2 linked regions of the Xenopus tropicalis genome follow. The protein of the gene in region 1 interacts with the protein of each later gene in a pairwise test. Links are inferred from orthologs where the notes say so. Each region holds a gene or a part of one and is shown on either strand. Other genes may lie near its edges.

Region 1 (3,500 bases):
TTATATTGTCTGCTGAGTGCTAGTAACAAATAATATAACAGTCCCACAAAGTACACCACTCAACAGGTCTTGTGCAAGCAAAAATAATTGTTTTAATTTAATTTACAAACCCAATATATAGATAGCTACAAAAGCATTATCAAAATATAAAACAGAGCATATGCATTTATGCTGTATTTGGAGAATATCATGTTTTCAATATACAATGAAATATAATAAACTATAATGGTGGTAGAATGAAGTACAACGTATACAAGTTCAATAACATGCTGTTTACTTTAAAAGCAAGGCTAAAAATTACAGCTTATTTATGTTGTAAAATAATTTGTTTTAAATAAGCTTTACCTTATTTCTACAGGCCTTGGTTTCTTCAAAGGAATTGGAGCAATTTAATTCTGATATGCAGAAATTGCTTGAACCACTGGAGGCTGAAATTCAGCTGGGAGTGAATCCTACAGAAGAAGACTTCAATAAAGATATGGTAAATTAGTTGTGATGGAGACCTGAAATGGCAAACAGAGAATAAGAGAAAATACTTTGTTCAGTTACAAAAACTTCCTAAACACTGTTACAGTCTACAATGTTTAGTCGCCAGAATGTTGTTGAGCTCCAAAAGACATACTCTTCAAGTTTAAGATGTTATTTCTGTACATAAATGCAAATGCCTACAGTACATTTGTATGATACTTCAGTATGGTCAATTTATGTTAATGAATTCATTTGTAAGTCATAGCAAATTGGAAATGTTTCTTAGGAATGCAAAATAAGGATTTATAGAAGCACAAATGCCATAAATGGAGATTAGAATCTTGAAACTGACAGTCAAGTGGTATTTAAAGAATACTAATAACTATAAATTGCTATAATTTAAATTCTGTTCCATATATAGATTTTTTAAATATGTACAGCACAGAGATTTATCTCCTTTCTCTTTTATTTAAATGATGTAGTTAGTCGTCGAAAGAAAATATAGACTGCTGTGCCAGTTTTGGCTTTATTTTTATTTTTTTTAATATTCTATAAATCCTGAGCAGATTTAAATATGCTTAGATGTTGAATTCTTGAAACTTAAAAATAAAACAAAAAAACAAAAATAAACACACTAAACCTAAAAGCACTATATCTATGCTGGATCTAATGAAAAATGTATGAAAAATTAATGAAAAATAAATATATGTGTTTGCTGAAGAATGAAGAAAAATAAAAAATGTATGTAAGTCAGGTTTTCCATTTCTTCCAGGTTCTTAGTGGCATCATAAAGTTATGTTGTATATTAACTGCAGTGTAGGTTCTTGGACTAGTAGCTGGGGCATTTTATTGCCAAAAACTATATTCACAAAAAGAGAAAATGCTCTGAGCTGTTGAGGAGCAATTGTTGCTATTTTGGGTTGAACCTTAATGAGTAAGAGCCTTAACTGGATCACTAAATGGTAATACTAAACTGCCATAGATTAGTCATTATTAGTTATGAGCGAATATTTTCACCAGGCATGGATTCGCAGCTAATTTCCACATTTCGCCATTGGCAAAATTCGCCGCGGCAAAATTGGGCAGGGTCGCGTGAAAAAAAGCACGGGCGACAAAAAAATAGCCGTGGCCGACAAAAAAAACCGCGGACGACAAAAAAAAAATGAGTTTCGCGAATTTTTCGCCGTTTCACGAATTTTCTTGCCGTTTCGCGAATTTTATGCTGAAGTGCAACAGGACAGATTCGCTCATCATTATTCGTTATGTCAATGGTAGTGACAATGGAAGTGAATCTGTCTGAAAAATTTGTGAAACACGTTGAAGTCAATAGGCAACAAATTTTACACTTGACAAATTTTACATGCAACTTTTTTTTTCTTACTCCAAATGTATTCATGTCAGTGGGTGTTTTTTCTCTCTCCAAATGCATTAAATTAATCTGTATTTTTTGTATCAGTGACATTTTTGTCTTGGGGACTTTTTTGCCTCGGCGACTTCTGTCTTCTGTTGTGGCAAATTTTTTCATGGCAAGTTTTTGCTGCAATTTTCACCGATAAAAGCAGAATTTCTCTGTGAATCCATGCCTGGCAAAAAAAAAAAATCGCTCATCACTAGTCATAGGCGTTGTCAATGTTTGTGAAATGGTCTCTATGCATAAAGGAGCAATTTGTGAAGAGCCAGAAATGGTGGTATAAAGAATTAAATTGCTGCTGTGGAAATTCACTCAAATGTTAGCCTTAGTAATAACTTCTCAAGTATAAAGACAGCAACATCCAGGGTAACTTTACACAAAAATCATTCTGTTTTATTCGTAACAGAGGTTTCCAAGAGAGAAGTAAATGGTAACCGTGCTCAACAAAAGTAATAGCAACTCACATTTTTTGTTCATTAACCAACACTAAAATTCCTTGGTATTCCCTTCCTCCAAGTTGCTGCCAATTACTACATCATTACTGTAATGTAATAGAAAACATTGATTTGCACTAATGCATATCTAGCAGAAGATGCAAGAGCATGAACGTCTCCCCCTTTTAACATCATGCTCTACTTTATTGTATTTTATCATAGTTTTCAAGTGTATTTTCTTCCTTTTTTGTGATCAGAGTGAAGATAATGAAGAGCCTGTGAAGGAATTGCTGCTAAGGGGAAATAATCTTCAACAAAAAATTACCGATGAGAAAAAATGTGAAGAAATAAAACTAAAGCAACAGCTTTTACAATCAAAACACAATACTCTAAAGGTAACCAGTATGATATATACATAGAAGGTTGATATTATAGTAAAATATAAAATTTTTATATGATTTTGTGCTTTTACTGTTAAGGATACAGTATGTCTTAATAATGTTTAAATATTTTATTTATATATATATATATATAATATATATGGTTTGGATATCATGAGCAAATGGAAAAATAGCAATTAGACAGTAATACAAATTTATGGGGGTAATTTATCAATAACTGAGTTTGATTTTTTTTCACGATTAAAGGTTTTTAGTGCTAAAACTCACAAAATTTGAAAAATGGTTCAAAAACTCTAATGTCTGATATTTATTAAGTGCAAAATAAATTAAAACTCTGTGTAAAACATCAGCATCTAAAAGCTTGCAAGTTTATCTAAAAGTCAATTAAGTTTGGAAAGTATTCAAGTTTTTTTTTATTCGAGTTTTCCATGTTAATAAATAAGCAAGCATTCAAGTTTTTTTTTAAATGTGAGTTTAATACAGTTAGAAAAACACACTTGAATTCACAAACTCGAAAACTGATAAATAAGTCCATTAGACTTAGAATTTTTGAGTTTTCATTGTATTTTTTTAAGTTTTTTTCTTTGCTTCTACTTACATCTGTATAGTTGCATTATCTGGCAAAATAACCCAGTAAATTTGCAATGCTGTATAAAATGCTTAATTCTGTTTTAGAATAAAAGTTGAAACAATTCTATACATATTTTAAGTATAAATACAGCAGCACGTCACATACAGCAGGGGCGTCACAAAGAGTTTTTACACTTTGTTCATAGGTAGAACATC
Region 2 (4,227 bases), on another chromosome or scaffold:
CTATATTTTTATCTTTTACTTGGTTAAGAACATTGGCATCAAGTAATAAGTTTTTATGGCCAGATAGTAAAATATGGGCCCTGTAGGGCAACTAGAACTGTTATATCTCTTGTACTAAAAGGGTTAAAGGAGACATATAGGATAAAAAAAAACCCTCTAATCTTGTAGGTAATTATGAATAATATATGGTGCTGGTTTCACTTGGGCTAAAAATTAATACTATCTGTAAAAATGGCCCCTTTATTGGAGCTCCCTATAGATCCTCTCAGGTCCCTGTCTGTGTTTCAAATGAGGGGTGGACATGTCAAAACGTCTCCTGCCAGAAAAAAAATAGCAAGGGAGGAGCCAATCACAACCCTGCTGTAACACAAGCAAAGACAGGCTTCAGTTCCCTATCAGGTCAGCCTAGCTGCTGATTGGTTCCTATCCTACAGTGAAGTGGCCCGACTGCCAACAGCCCCCCTGCACAGCCTGAGAAAGGCAGCAGAAAGTGGAATAGATGGGCAGGGCTAGTGGGGTTTTTTAGAGAAATATTCAATAAATCAGTCTGAAACATTACTTTTTATAACACATTACTTCTATATTTAGATGAGCACAATTCATTGGCACAATATTGTTTTTCACACTAGGGGGCACATTCATGAAAACACGAGTTCAAATCCCGAATGGGATAAATTCGGATTGGATACGATAATTTCTTAAGATCACAAATATCACTAATATGCTTAAAAAATCGTATTAGTCACAATAATATAGTATTGGCAATCCGAAAGTCAGGAAATTTTTGTACCGAACGATCGTAAAATGCAGGAAAACCTTTCCGACTTTGATCCTTCTGTGCAGGACTTTCCTGTCAGTCAGGAAAGTGTTGATAGCTGTGGTAAAATTTGGCGTTTAGGTATCCCCACTGTGGTAAATGTTTATACGAAGAATATTATTTCTTAATATTGTGAGCAGCGCCCCCTTGATCCTGTTTGTATTCTGTAACCCTTGGTTGTTATATTTTTTCCAACCTACTGTTACTATGTAACCTCATTTGTTATAAATTAATATGAAGTGCTGCATAACTTGCTGACCCTATATTAACAGATGACTATGAATGCTAAAGCTGGGTTCAATCACTGCATACAGGCATCCCTGTAACATGTATAATACATTAGAAAGGCTGAAGTAATTTCTGTAAAACTCTATTAAATCTGTCTAATTCAGTCACTTTAAAAGGACCTACTTGTGGAATTCGCCAACTATAACTAATTACCACACGATCCACGGCTGGACTGGGAGAACAACCCAGCCGCGCTGTGTTTGCTCACCTAGGACAGGCAGAAAGGAATTTTAGAAGAATGGGAAAGTTGCAGGCGAGAGGATTTTTTTTCCTTGGTGGGCTGGGATGTGGGAGGTGAAATAGGAGGAGACAGAGAATGGGGGAGGAATTTGTGGAAGCATAGACTGTACAGCAGAGAGGTGCAGGTTTGCAGCGTGGGGCTCTGGTTTGTGATGTCTCTCCTTGTGTTCTTGTAGTTTGGCGATCCTTGCCTGGGGCTTCTGAGGAGCAGTACGAGTAGGGGAGAGAAGCCAAAGGGTCGAAAGCAGCAGTGGAAGTCACACGTAGCACAGCCTTTCGTCCAAAGCCTGGAACTGTTTTGCAAAAGCCTCTTGGAACCATGGCCACTTCTCCCTGCAGCAGCAGTGGGGTCTCCTCTTCGTCTTCTTCTGGCTTCAGCATTGATACGGGATTGGAAATTAAGACCAAATCTGTGGAGCAGACTCTGATCCCTTTGGTGTCTCAGGTAAACAGCCAAGGAAAACACTGGCGAGTCCAATCTGCTGTGAGGCGCAATAAGCGTTCTGTTAACTACTGATCTGCTTTAACAGCGCTCGGTTGCACCCAGCAGGGGCAATGTCTCGCTTGTAATTGTCCGCCTAGCGTAGATTCCCCGCCTGCACTGGCACACTGTAACAAACCCATTATATATGCAGCTAAAGTAACTTTGTAAAATATTGACCTGTCTATGCTTTATCTGTTTGACGACACTTATGCAGTGCTGGCGTTAGAAACGCCTGACTAACCTCTGCCCCTTTAGCTTTTGTACAACTAAAGAAGCCAGCCTGTCTGTCAGGGGATGCTGGGAGTTATGTTCACAAATATAAATGTTCATAGTCTTGTAAAATCTGACAAACCACTGGTATTTTAGTATAAAGAATTTAACTTTTTATAGTTTTGTGGTATTTATTTCTGGCCAGAAGCAGTGGATGGGTTAATGATAATCTCCATAGTACAGGGATATAGATTTTTTTTTTTTTTAACATATTTTGAGGTAAAAATGTAAATGGTTGGAAGCAGTGGAAGGGAAAGCTGTCAATTTAAAGTGTCTGTGCCAATGTTATGGTGTGAAAGCTGTGTTTGTGTGCTGAAGTAATGTGTGTTGTGTGCACCTAGGTGTAACTGTCCCTTGTGCACTGAGTTGCAGTGTGTGTATCTAGCCCCTTATAAGGAGGTGTGTGACTAGTTCTTTGTTGCTTATTCCTTTTGCACTTGCTTTCCTGAAAAAGGCTGACACTTGTGCAATAGATTCTTGTATGTAGAAGCTGAAGCTGCAGCCAGCTGCATTTAAACTAGAAGCTGTTTGTATTGGTCCTGATATACTAGAGCCTTGAAACTGATGTATTCTCTGAAATTATATTCAATCCAAGCACACTAGGGGTTAAAATAACTACTTCTTCACTTCACTACACCAGTCAAAAAGCTGGCCTCATTCTGCATCAGTCTGTCATATGTGCTATTTGTTATACTTGTATATAAGAAGAGTACTATGCTATGTGGGACAAATAGATTTTTTTCAAGTTTTATAAAGAGAAACTAGTCTCTTCACCAAAGCATGTTTTAATAAGCCTTTAAAATGTTAGCAGTTCATCATCATTTCTAAATAATGCATGTTATGTGTTAGTAAACGTTTCAGCTCATCGTGATTATTATCATTAGTATTGGATTCATTTGTACAGTGGCATCATATTCTGAAACACTGTGCATAAGGGTATATAACATTTGACATGCTGAAAAACCAACACAATAAATAATGACGGTAAGCACAGCAGGTATCCATACAGTGACCAAACCTTCAAATTAAGTTTGTGCCAAACAAATGGGTACTGCACAATTGACCAAGCACAAGGATGGTGAAATTATATTGTTCTATTGGGCTGAATAATAGAATCTTACTAAAAGCCAAAGGGTGCATTGGCAAATAAGATTTTCAGTTTTCTTCTTAAGAAGAAATTGCATGCCCAGGTGGTTGAGTAATATAGTCAAAATTATCCAAAGTTTCCAACCAAATATGGGTATAATTAGCTTGCAATACTGACTCCCCCCCCCCCCCTCTTGTTTCCAAGTGCCAGTGTGAGTAGGGTTTATGAGTTACTTGTTTATAAGCTAATGTTATATTTATCTAAAATCCAGCTTTGGTGTGCTTTGTGCACAAGGGACTCAAGACTTTTCTGGGGTTACTGCTAATATATGCTAGCCCTGATCTTTGTTTTCCCAGTGCTCAGAATTCAGTTTATGTTGCTTGTTGTTTAGCTGGCAGAATTTACAGGGAGCAGAGAATTGTGGCTAAGGAGGATTATAGTATAATGCCAGTTGTGTTGTGTGATTCAGGGTAGTGCTGGTTTGAGCTCTAAGGCTAATGTCAGACCAGGCGTATGGTGTATATTTTCGGCAAGCTGAAAAACACTTGCCGAAAATACCGCCATACACCTCCTACCTGTGCCTGCACCCGAATGAATGGAATACACTCAGGTGCAGGCACATGTAGCCGATATCTTCCTAAAAACTCAAGAGAATGCAAAGCTTCTAATTTACTTAATAATATACTTAACAATGCAGAATTTGTAAAATTTATTTTTGTCTTTGTAATTTGAACTCCATCCTCTAGTACAGGGATCCCCAACCTTTTTTACCCATGAGTCACATTCAAGTGTAAAAAGACTTGGGGAGCAACACAAGCATAAAATATGTTCCTGGGGGTGCCAAATAAAGACTGTTGTTGGCTATTTGGTAGCCCCTATATGGACTGGCAGCCTACAGGAGGCTCTGTTTGGCAGTAAATCTGTTTTTTTATGCAAACAAAACTTGCCTCCAAGCCAAGAATTCAAACATAAGCCCCTGCTTTAAGGCCACTGGGAGCAACATCCAAGGGGCTCACAAGCCACTGGTTGGGGATCACTGCT

What was found.
Region 2: the proteins of dmd.3 (region 1) and ctnnal1 interact in binary tests that used the Homo sapiens proteins (3 or more experiments, as listed by UniProt). The two-hybrid records come from large-scale screens. The link is inferred for Xenopus tropicalis from reciprocal best matches to the Homo sapiens genes DMD and CTNNAL1.

The regions. Positions count from the first base shown.
Region 1 is NC_030678.2:107,802,535-107,806,034, forward strand, and holds part of dmd.3 (dystrophin), read left to right. Parts: intron 1-358; coding exon 359-481; intron 482-2,570; coding exon 2,571-2,708; intron 2,709-3,500. UniProt on the Homo sapiens protein: Anchors the extracellular matrix to the cytoskeleton via F-actin. Ligand for dystroglycan.
Region 2 is NC_030682.2:77,054,042-77,058,268, reverse strand, and holds the start of ctnnal1 (alpha-catulin), read left to right. Parts: upstream 1-1,427; 5' UTR 1,428-1,664; coding exon 1,665-1,790; intron 1,791-4,227. UniProt on the Homo sapiens protein: May modulate the Rho pathway signaling by providing a scaffold for the Lbc Rho guanine nucleotide exchange factor (ARHGEF1).